Canis lupus familiaris: one gene and its partners. The protein of the gene in region 1 binds, or shares a complex with, the protein of each later gene. Links are inferred from orthologs where the notes say so. Each region holds a gene or a part of one and is shown in the gene's direction. Other genes may lie near its edges.

Region 1 (4,207 bases):
TCCGGGACTCCGGGGTCACGCCCTGGGCCAGAAGGCAGACACTCAACCACTGAGCCACCCAGGCATCCCTGTCAAGATCTTTTTTAAAAAATATTTATTTTCGAGAGAGTACCTGCACACAACAGGAGTGAAGGGGGAACAGCAGCAGACTCCTTACTGAGCAGGGAGCCCAAGGTGGAGTTCAGTCTCACGACCGTGAGATCACTACCTGAGCGGAAACCAAGAGTCCGTGTCTCAACCAACTGAGCCACCCAGGTGCCCCAATCAGGGATGCTGTAGGATCAGAGAGGTATGATATGAAACATGGAAACACTATGTAAAATTAGATTGCTACCCACTTGGCTATCATTTTTAAAAAAAATTTTTTTTTGGCTATCATTTTATTATCCATAAATCAAAGGCTCTGCAAAGGAAAACAGTACCATGGTTCTCCCTTCTGCACATCTGTTACCAGTAGCCACTGCCGTCTGGAAGCAGATGATCTGCGGACATGTTGCCGGGTCAGTGGGTATCCTAACCTCTGTCACGGTGTCTACATCATACCCCTCCGTTCATCTCACGTAGGCATTTGATCATCTCCACACCATGAGAAGAGTGGGCATGATACAACATCTTTAGAAACCACTTTCATGCAACTTGTTTTGTTATTAGCTAATGTTAATTTCGTACTGTGCCTAGCTTATCGATTAAACTTCATTTGCAGGTATAAGAAAAAACAGCATAAATAGTATTCAGTGTTCTGCATGGTTTCAGGCATCCCCTGGGGGCCTAGTGAAGGGGCAACTGCTGTATAATTAAGCATAATTAGTTTGGACATTGACAGAAGTTGAATCGAGGAGCCCCATTGCCCTTTGAAGCACTAAGGTAACTGCCAGAGTGGATTCGAAGCAAAATTCCTGAAGTGGACACTCCGCACCCAGGAGCTGGTGAAAAGTCGCCAGAAGACAAAGGGGAAATGATGGATGACTCCTGGGATCCTCGGCGCTCCCCCTCACGGCGCCCAACACTGGGGACCCTAAACTCCCTCCACTTGGTCGTCCAGGTGCGGGTGGTGCAGGTGGCGGAGAACCACCTCAAGGGGATGACAGGCCCACTGTGATGCCGAGAACGCCGAGGTCCGTGGGTCGCAGGGCTCGGGATTCTCGCCGCTGCCGTGGCCCACGGGGCAAGGCCGCTGTGGTGAAGCACCTGGAGGCGCCCGCGGGTTTCCTCGAGGTGCGAGGGCTCCGGGACACCGGGCAGGTAACAGTCCCTGCAGCAACCTGCGCCTCCGCAGCGGGATGCTCCCGCGGCCCCGCCCCCGGGCGCCCGGAGGTCACGTGGCGCCGTCTGCTCACGTGACGCGGCCGGGGCGGGGCCTCGCGCTGCATTGCGTCATCACGCCGCGCGGCCGCGGAGCGCCGAGCCCGGGCGACCACGGTGACGGCTCCGGAGCCTGCGGGTGGGGGCGGCGGCGGCGCCTGGGCTCCTCCTGAGCCGCCTGCTGGCCCCGCGCCCCTCGGGGTCCCCGCGGGCGGGGGACGGGCCCGGCGAGCCCTCGTGGCTGGAGCCGAGGTGAGTCGGCGCGGCTGTGCCCCACCCCCCCGCCCGGCCGTCCTCTCCCCCGGGGTGGGACGCGCGGGCGCCGGCGGCGGAGGGAGGCCTGCGGCCGGGTTCCTCCCCTTCTCCGCCTGGGCGCCTCCCCCGGACCTTCCGTGGAGCCCCTGCCGGATGTTAGGGTGAGGGTGACCGGCGAGGCCGGGGCGCGAGGGGCGGGAACCGCAGCAGGAAGCCTGCCCTGCGCCCCGGTGACCGCGGTGGGACGCCCAAGCCGTGGACCCCGGGCCCGGCCGAGCCCAGGAGCCTGCCCAGGTGCGTGCCCTGGTGCCTGCCCTGGTTCCTGCCCAGGAGCCTGCCCAGGTGCCTCCCCAGGAGCCTGCCCTGGTGCCTGCCCACGAGCCTGCCCTGGTGCCTGCCCACGAGCCTGCCCAGGTGAGCTTTCCCGCAATCGGGCGTCCGTGCAGGCTCCTGTCCCATCTCCGGGGCCACGAGTAAGTAGGCTCCAGGACAGTCTCTTCGGAAACTGCCACAGGCTTCGGTGGATCAGCTCTTACCCTGCGACATGGATGTTGCAGGCTGTCGGGGAGGCCATGCAGGGCGCTCGTGGGATGCTGTGCTGACATAGGGTTAGGGGAGGGGAGCACTCAGGACCTTGTGTGTGCTACTCCGAAATGATGGGTGCGAGTCGTGGACCCGTGAAGATCATACTCTGATTTTTTTTTTCTTGGATTATTTCAGAAAGTTTTAGATTCCAGATGAGACTCTCTTAATAACCATCCCATTTTATTCCCCCAGAAATTGTTCCTTGAAACAAAAAAAAAAAAAAAAGTGTCACTAAAAGCCTGTCAACAAAGTAAAAAGTACATTGGTGTTTTTTTTTTTAATATATGTTACTGAGTTTATTTAATTGATGCATACAAGTGAACTTTGCAAGCGACTGGGTATGGCAGTAAAATTAGTAATGGAGTTTTAATAAGTTTCTGTCCTAGTAGTTAGGCTCTTAGTTTCAGTATAGGAGAATTCCTACCGCACGTTTACTAGTAACATATTGGGGGAAGGCCCTTCCGCAGAAAAGCTTCGAGAACTTAATCACGTGAAAGTCCATAGGTAAGCTTGCAGTGTCTCCATTATTCAGCGTATCATTTTAAGAAGAAATCCAGGTATATTTGGAAGTTATAATTTTGCATACTTCTTTCGAAAAAAAGTACACTTTCACTGACTCTGGCCTTTATCGCTCTAAGTCAAACAATTTTTCTTTTCTTGCATTTGATTTCTAAGTAATAACTCCTGTGGTAGGAAAAAATATATAAAACAAGGCTATTTTCTAAATACTTGTCTACTTAATCTACTCAAGGATATTAAATAATAGTGATAATCACACCTTTAGGAAATTTTGGGGTTTTTAAAAATATTTTATTTATTCATGAAAGACACAGAGAGAGGGGGGAGCAAAGAGACACAAGCAGAGGGAGAAGCAGGCATGCAGGAGCCCGAGTGGGACTCAATCCCAGGTCTCCAGGATCAGGCCCTGGGCTGAAGTTGGCGCTAAACCACTGAGCCACCCGGGCTGCCCAAGTTTTATGTTTTCATTTTATCATTTGACATGACAGCATTGTGAAGCTATGCAAGATATGTGTGGTTTCTATTTACAATAGTTGAGTGTTGATCGTAATAAATGTCAAGTGTTAGGGGCGCTCCATATTAGAATTCAGAGGAAGAGGTTGTGTTTACTTGGGATAGTTAGTGGCTGGATTGTTGCGAGAAGACCAGTAATAGGCGTACCCTCTACTTGCATTTGGGTCTGAGGAAGCGTCCTTAATTATGTAGCTTAATTGTGTGGAATATGTTTAGTTCTCCTAGTCCTTCAAGCGAGCTCTGGGTTTTTTCCTCTTGTACTTGCAGAATCCAAGGACCCCTTTCATTCTTTCTCCATATTGCTTGATGGGAGGCATTATGGCCCCCAAAGACATAATGACAAATACTCATGCTAAATCCATCCTCAATTCAATGAACTCTCTCCGGAAGAGCAATACCCTCTGCGATGTGACTTTGAGAGTAGAGCAGAAAGACTTCCCCGCACATCGAATTGTGCTAGCTGCCTGTAGTGATTACTTCTGCGCCATGTTCACTAGTGAGGTAAGTGGTAAGTTACCAGCTTGCAAATGGAACTCACACTTGTAACCTTATAGTTGTCTCATTTCACTGAATGAAATAGTAGAAATTTGATGTAGTAGTGAATTCCTATGGTATATGGTGGGTTAGTGGGCGGAGTCTGGTCCAAATCTGCCTTTTGACTGTGTCTTATTTTCCCCATCTCTAAGTCAAGGGTGATAGCAGTATGCGATCACACACGGTTATTGTGACAGTTCTTTGAGAAAACCACATCTGAAGTATTTAGAACAGTGTCTGGCATGTGGTAAAACACAAACGTCAGCTACTAGATTTTACTTATTTCTAAAAATTGTTTTGCTGTTTTTTTTTTTTCTCCTTCTAAAATCAAATATTTTTAAGTGAATACTAGGGGGATAAAGGGAAGGGGAGGAGAGAAGATGCAGTCCTCATCCAACTCCACCGAACAGTAGATGAAGAAAATCAACATTTGTTCTACCCATGTAGATTTCAGATGGGAGGAGGACTTAATGACTTCATGACTGTGTAGGCGTGTGAA
Region 2 (3,500 bases), on another chromosome or scaffold:
TTCCTTAGAAACTTAAGATCAAAGAGAGAAATGACTGAAACACTGTAGGAAAATCCCAGCAGATTCACAGAATAGAAGCCAGATACAAATACTCATAGCGTTTACATCCAAGGTCCTCTTCCATCAGAGCAAGGCTGTTGGCTTGATGGAAGGCAGGGTAGGTGGACTTGTGAGGCTTTGTGGGTAAGGGATAACTGTCCCCAGGGAGGCACTGGGCCTGGTCCTCCCAGCATGTCTTTGGATTGGCCTTGAGACCTGCCTCTGACTCCTCTGGTTTGCATCCCTTTGTGCAGGTGGCATTCCTCCCAATGTGGATCCTGAGGCTTACTCCTGGTTCCAGTCAGTGGACTCCGATCACAGTGGCTACATCTCCATCAAGGAGCTGAAGCAGGCTCTGGTCAACTCCAACTGGTCCTCTTTCAATGACGAGACATGCCTCATGATGATTAGTAAGTCCTAGCCCTTCCCCATGGGCTTGGGGGGGGGGGAGAGCTCCCTACTATCTGACGGTGGGTGGGCAGCCATTTGGAGGAGAAATCTTTCAGGCAGGAATTTGGGTTCAAGGTGAAATCCTCTAGAAGGAGAGCTCTTTCCCTTTGATTTTTTTCTCAAGTTCCAGACCTTGTGGAGTCACAGGCTCACTTTTCCGCTCTGCAGAATGGGACTCCCTGCATTGGTGGCAGATGGCATGGAGGGAGTCAGCTGCCAGGCCTGCAGAGAAACTGCAGTTCTGGAAGGGCTAGGGCTGAGAGTGGCCCAGGTGGGGGCTGGTCCGCACTTGACGAGAGTATGTCTCAGGTCCAGGCATCTGGGCCCCAGGCCTGAGGTTCTGGGGAGTCTCCTACTCTGGCCCTCAGTCTCGAAGTTTTTCTTCCCTCCATTCCTTCTCTCCCCAAGACATGTTTGACAAGACGAAGTCAGGCCGCATCGACGTCTATGGTTTCTCAGCCCTGTGGAAGTTCATCCAGCAGTGGAAGAACCTCTTCCAGCAGTATGACCGGGACCGCTCAGGCTCCATTAGCCACACGGAACTGCAGCAAGGTGGGGACCATGGTAGGGACCCTGGACAGGCAAAGCTGGACTTCTTTGTTTGCTCTCTGTGACAGGGAAGGGGGTTCCTCTAGCTTCTGACTACCAGCTGTCCATGTGCTGTCCTCAACACAGGCCCACTCCGCATCCATTCTGTGATCTGGCTGGGGCACTGAGCCAAGATCCAGGGGAAGGGAGCACCTGGTTCCAGGATGAGGCCTGCACTCCCTTGTGATGGTCCTCCTGGCTCTGCTAGGTGAGACAGACCCAGCCGGAAAGGAGCCTCGGGGATGGGAACTCAGCAGCCCAGGGGACCTGGAAGTCAGCATGTGGGGCTCATGGGGCTCTTTCCTCTCTAGTTGCTAGCATAAAGAATGGAAAGAGCCCTGTATAGGGACTCAGAAAGGTGGTTTCTGTTGCCAGCTCTGCTAGAAGGCAGTTTCCTTCCCAACTCTGGGACCGAGATCACACTAAAAGTTGCAGTAGACCAAGATGACCTGAGGCCATAGCTCCAGGTCTGGTTCCAATACTGACTTGAGAAGATGGGTGGTTAGTGGGGTGATAAGAATCTGACGGGGAGCTTTGCCACCTGGGAGGGAGAAAGGGCTCTCCAGAGAACCCGGCCCCTTGCCCTGGCTGTGGATTTCAGTGAGACTAAGTGGGGGTGGGGGTGAGCTCACCGTGGCTGCACCCATTGAGGGGAAAGGACATGACCTGTACTGATCACCTCCTCTTTTGCCCAGTCCCGTTACAGATATTGGTGAGAGTGATACTATCACAACAAAATTTATATTTACTGACTGCTTGTTGTGTCAACACAAGTAAGCACTTCATTCACTCTCCCCGTGTGATAGCTACTGTCTGTTCTTCCCCATTCTTAGGTGAGGGATCTCTTACTATTGCCCTTTTACAGATGAGAGAACCGAGGCCGAGTTTAGGCGACTTGCCTCAGGGCCACAGAGCAAAAGGGGAGCTTTTAGCCTGGGCTGGTAGATACACGGAGAGGAAGAAAGGAAGCCTCCCACCCAGGTGGAGGGACAGAGGAGCACGAAGGCTGTGACCTTGGAATTGCCCAGCAGCCTTTCCTAGGACATGATGATGATTTTATTTTTAACAAGTAACACTGAGTGCTTATTATGTATCAAGCACTATGCCAAGTGCTTCACAGAATAACCTCCTTTAATCCTTACTAGAACCTACAAACTAAGTCTCATCCTCATTTTAGAGATGATAAGATGGAGGATTAGCAAGGTTAAGCAACTTGCCCAAGGGGCTGTGTTGACTCCAGAGCAGGCCTATCATGTCTGCCTCTGGGCCACACTGCCTCTGATGTCTGCCCTGGGCAGGGGGCTCCCTGGGGGCTCAGGCTTCCTTCTCTAGTGCGGATGAGTCACAGATGAGCATGGCTAGCCCTCTGTCATTCTGGGATCCTATGGGCCTGATTAAACAGACAGTAATGGAGATTTGGAGAAAGGGATTGGGGCCTTCCAGCTAAGGGGAGCATCCAGAGAGAGCCCCTCTTGGGCTCCTGCCGTCTCTGACAGACCCCAGGGACTTCTGTCTCCTCTGTTCTGGTGCGTGTCTCCTCACAGTCCCCTGCACTGCCGTGCTCCCCAGAGCTGGCTGATGGCGGTGCTCAAGGCAAGGTTTTGTGTCTGCTCTGTGTGCCCCTCCTCTGCAGCTCTGTCCCAGATGGGCTACAACCTGAGCCCCCAGTTCACCCAGCTCCTGGTCTCCCGCTACTGCCCACGCTCCGCCAACCCTGCCATGCAGCTAGACCGCTTCATCCAGGTGTGCACCCAGCTGCAGGTGCTGACCGAGGCCTTCAGGGAGAAGGACACAGCCGTGCAGGGCAACATTCGGCTCAGCTTCGAGGACTTCGTCACCATGACAGCTTCTCGGATGCTATGATGCAGCCCATCTGGAGAGAGTGGGTGTACTGGGGACCTTTCCTGGCTCCTGAGGGTTGGAGAGGCATGTGGGCCTCTCCTCTTTTCCTGCCCCTCCTAGAAAAAGATCCTTGCCTGATGCAGCACTGTTTCCAAAGAGGGCTGGGAATCCCGTGTCACAGTCAACCAAATAACAGGGACCTGGGCTGAAGCCACACAGGTAGTGGCCTGACCTAAGAGAGGACTGGAAGCTGAATGTCCTTAGAGTCCTGAGTATCTAAATGGCCCAGCCTTATGCCAGGAGCAGGAGATGCCAGTCACTGCAGGGGAGTTAGTGTCTGGTCAGCTGGGCTCTAGCCTGTAGCTTTTCCTTCTGCGCCCTGACACCAGTGGTAGTCGTCATCAGCCTTTTGCTGTTAGCACTTGAGCTCCCTCACGCATCTCATCTTGTCAGATGAATCCAGTTTCTCCAAAGTGGAAGCTAACCAAGCATGAGAGAGGTTTGTCTGCAGGACCAAGCGGCTTGGATCCCACCAACCCCATGCCCCAAATCCATGTGTATTGACTTCTGGCTGCCTGGGT
Region 3 (3,500 bases), on another chromosome or scaffold:
TTCCTGCCTATGTGTTGTATAGTAGCTCATGTCAACCTTCCAGTAACTTCCCAATCCCCTATTAACTCAAGTATCTAGCCAGGAGATGACTAGTCTAATGGCATAGTTTGACAGGGGTGGAGCTAGGAGACCAACTCAGGTCTGACTGTGTCCAGAATCTGTGTGAGCTCAGCCACCACACTCTAGCTTCCAGCTCTCCAGCTCAATCTATTGCATCAGACATGTGTCTGTTCCTCTCCTCTCTCTGGGTTTCTCTGTCTCCAGGTGTCACTGTCTTGTATTGTCTTTCTTTTCTCTTTTCTTTTCTTTTCTTTTCTTTTCTTTTCTTTTCTTTTCTTTTCTTTTCTTTTCTTTCTTTCTTTCTTTCTTTCTTTCTTTCTTTCTTTCTTTCTTTCTTTCTTTCTTTCTTTCTTTCTTTCTTATTTATTTGAGAGAGAGAGAGATAGCCAGAGAGCACAAGTGGGGAGGGGCAGTGGCGGAGAGAGGGAGAAGCAGACTCCCCACTGAGCAGGGAACCCATGTGGGGCTGGATCCCAGGACCCCAGGATCATGACCTGAGCCCAAGATAGACTCTTAACCGACTGAGCCACCCAGGTGCCCCCCTGGGTGTCACCGTCTGCCTTTCCACATTTCCTCTCCGCACTCCCCCTCTACTCAGGCCTCCTCTCTCTCTGTTTCCCCAGGACAGCTCGGGGCTGCGGCTCTGGAAACGCCGCTGGTTCGTCCTCTCCGGCCATTGCCTCTTCTATTACAAGGGTCAGTGCCCTGACTGGGGAGGGATGGACGCCCCCTCCCCCCCCCCCCCGCCCTTTCCCTTAGCCTCCTGGCCTTCAGATCCTGCGCTGTCGCTGACCCCAGCCCTCTTCTGCAGACAGCCGCGAGGAGAGCGTCCTGGGCAGCGTCCTGCTCCCTAGCTACAGTATCAGGCCCGATGGCCCAGGGGCCCCGCGAGGGCGGCGCTTCACCTTCACCGTGAGTCTGTCCATCCCCCGCGGGCACTAAGGCGCTAGGCCGTGGGGGCGGCCGGGGGAGCATTCATTATTGGAGCTAAAAAGGCTTGACCAGGGTCCACGGCATCCTCCTTTTTGGAGGGCCCGGGCGTCCGGTCCCCAGCTCTCTCTCCCCGCAGGCTGAGCACCCAGGCATGAGGACCTATGTTCTGGCCGCCGACACGCTGGAGGACCTGCGGGGCTGGCTGAGGGCGCTGGGCCGGGCTTCTCGCGCGGAGGGGGACGACGGGTGGGTCCAGGTCCTGGCCACGTCCCAGACCTCCACCTCCAATCTGAGCCCATCTAACCATCCCACAGCCCCTCCCCTTTACGCCAATCACACTTCTGGCTAAGGAGACGCCGCCCTTCAGGCCCCACCTCCAGGGACCTTCCTGTCTTCCAATCAGCAAAAAGTCTTTCTCTTCTAGACACCGCCCACCGTTTCGTCAGGCCCCACCCCTTCATCAAAATTCCACACTCTCTGATTGGCTCCCTCAGAAGTCTCCACCCCCGAGGCTGCCACCTAAGGAATGTCAAATATAAGAGGAAAGTCCCGACTTTCCCCAAGTTTCAGGCTGGAGACTCTGGGACTGGATGGACCTTGTAGCCCTGACACTAGTCACTTCCACACGAAGGGCCTCGATTTTCCCATCTGCGAAGTGGGAACAACAATTTACAGTGCACCACCTACCCTTTCTTTTATTCTGTGTAGGTTCCCGTGTGCTAATCCACGAAATGGGAATGAGGGCTGGTTATGAGGTACAAAGGAGTGATGTCTTTTTCTGTGCTCACTCATTAGTGGACGACCCAGGTCACCTGCACGTCCCCAGCCTGGAGAGGGCCCTGGAGGCCCCGGTGGTCCCCCAGAGGTGACCAGAGGGGAAGAAAGACACGGCTTAGAGTCACCAGAGGTGGCTCGGCTCTCCAGAGGTCGTGGAGGACCCGGACTGCTCACTCCCAGCCCCATAGCTGATCTCCAGTCTGGACCTCGGATCCGGAGGACCAGGAGCCCGGAGTGAGTTGAGGGAGTCTGGGTTCAGAAGGTTCTACAGGGCTGAGCGTCAGAGGAAAAGCTATGTTGAGGGCATGCCTAAGAGGTGGGGACTGGGTCTGCTTCGGGATATGGCTTAGTGCTTTCTCCCTTTAGTGGATGTGAGTCGCTAGAGTTCTCATGGGGTCGGAACCCATAGGGGGAATATCCTAAGGAGGAGATGCCACAAAGGGAGAAATTATTATTCAGTATCTGGGTAATAGAGTGGGGTTCTACTGTAGAGGGACAGTGAGACACACTGAAAGGGGATGTGTCCCCATGCGGCTGACTGGGTGGGTAGTGGGGAAGGGGGCTCTAGGTCACCCAGTTCCCCTATTCTCTCCTCCCAACAGCCTGTTCACACCCCTCTCCCGCCCTCCCTCCCCTCTGAGCCTCCCCCGGCCCCGTTCTGCTCCTGTACGCAGACCCCCTCCATCCTCTGGTGACATAGCACCTCTCGCCAGACCCCATACCCCTCTGAGTCGCATCGATGTCCGGCCTCCCCTGGATTGGCCTCTCCAGCGCCAAACACTGTCCAGGCCACCCACCCCCCGGCGAGGACCCTCCTCTGAGGCTGGGGGAGGAAGGCCCCCCAGGAGTCCCCAGCACTGGAGTCAGGAGGCCAGAACACAGGTGAGCAGCGAGGTAATGGTGAAGGGGACTGCATTTCCCATATGGCCATGGTCTGGTCTGCAGGCCATGGTCCCCTGGGCACCATGGGGATTGTGGTTCAACATAATCAGGGCTGGGGGCAGCCCCGGTGGCTCAGCGGTTTAGTGCCTGCCTTTGGCCCAGGGCCTGATCCTGGAGACGGGGGATGGAGTCCCACGTCGGGCTCCCTGCATGGAGCCTGCTTCTCCCTCTGCCTGTGTCTCGGCCTCTCTCTCTCTCTGTGTCTCTCATTCATAAATAAAATTAAAAAAATCTTAAAAAAAAAACCACAACATAATCAGGGCTGGGTTCAGATGGGAGGGCAAGTGGACTTCATCTCCCATCAGCCCTCAGGGCTGTCTTTTCAGCCCAGTCTCTGACCATTACACCTTAAGTATTATGGGAGTTGTAGTCCAGAATACTGTCATTCCAAGACCATCCTGGGAGACGTGGTGTGATTGCATCCGTTTTGTGTCTCCAGTTTATCTTTCCAAGATGGTTACCTGCTATTTCCTCTGAGCATCATGGAACTGTAGCCCAGAATATCCACAGTTAACCACAAATGTGAGAGTAGACTGCAACTTTCATCAGCCTCTGGGGCAATTTTGCCAGGCTTGTCCATTTATTATCATCCTATGTGTTCCCACAGTGGTACATAGCTGGAGAACAAGTAGTTGAAGTTCAGAGACCCAGTTTTTTTTTTTTTTTTAAGGTTTTATTTATTTATTCATGAGAGACGCACAGAGAGAGGTAGAGACACAGGCAGAGGGAGAAGCAGGCTTCACACAAGGGAGCCCGATGTGGGACTCGATCCCGGGGCCCCAGGATCA

What was found. Proteins that work in one complex are often made in the same cells at the same time.
Region 2: the proteins of KLHL12 (region 1) and PEF1 are in contact, whole or in part, in a crystal structure (PDB 8RBH), measured with the Homo sapiens proteins. The link is inferred for Canis lupus familiaris from reciprocal best matches to the Homo sapiens genes KLHL12 and PEF1. Residues at the interface, in NP_067646.1 of Homo sapiens: Phe289, Gln293, Arg320, Tyr321, Leu371, Glu417, Tyr434, Ile439, Phe481, His486, Cys511, Tyr512, Tyr528, Leu533, Cys558; in NP_036524.1 of Homo sapiens: Gly15, Gln16, Ala17, Pro18, Gly19, Ala20, Pro21, Pro22.
Region 3: the proteins of KLHL12 (region 1) and PLEKHA4 are in contact, whole or in part, in a crystal structure (PDB 8OIO), measured with the Homo sapiens proteins. The link is inferred for Canis lupus familiaris from reciprocal best matches to the Homo sapiens genes KLHL12 and PLEKHA4. Residues at the interface, in NP_067646.1 of Homo sapiens: Phe289, Arg320, Glu417, Tyr434, Ile439, Phe481, His486, Cys511, Tyr512, Tyr528, Leu533, Cys558; in NP_065955.2 of Homo sapiens: Pro177, Gly178, Gly179, Pro180.

Annotation. Positions count from the first base shown.
Region 1 is NC_049228.1:385,584-389,790, forward strand, and holds the start of KLHL12 (kelch-like protein 12), read left to right. Parts: upstream 1-1,407; 5' UTR 1,408-1,554; intron 1,555-1,855; exon of another isoform or gene 1,856-1,971; intron 1,972-3,441; 5' UTR 3,442-3,480; coding exon 3,481-3,675; intron 3,676-4,207. UniProt on the Homo sapiens protein: Substrate-specific adapter of a BCR (BTB-CUL3-RBX1) E3 ubiquitin ligase complex that acts as a negative regulator of Wnt signaling pathway and ER-Golgi transport.
Region 2 is NC_049223.1:68,875,895-68,879,394, forward strand, and holds part of PEF1 (peflin), read left to right. Parts: intron 1-293; coding exon 294-449; intron 450-897; coding exon 898-1,041; intron 1,042-2,710; coding exon 2,711-2,940; 3' UTR 2,941-3,500. UniProt on the Homo sapiens protein: Calcium-binding protein that acts as an adapter that bridges unrelated proteins or stabilizes weak protein-protein complexes in response to calcium.
Region 3 is NC_049222.1:108,168,850-108,172,349, forward strand, and holds part of PLEKHA4 (pleckstrin homology domain-containing family A member 4), read left to right. Parts: intron 1-683; coding exon 684-756; intron 757-871; coding exon 872-972; intron 973-1,129; coding exon 1,130-1,239; intron 1,240-1,788; coding exon 1,789-2,004; intron 2,005-2,372; coding exon 2,373-2,652; intron 2,653-3,500. UniProt on the Homo sapiens protein: Binds specifically to phosphatidylinositol 3-phosphate (PtdIns3P), but not to other phosphoinositides.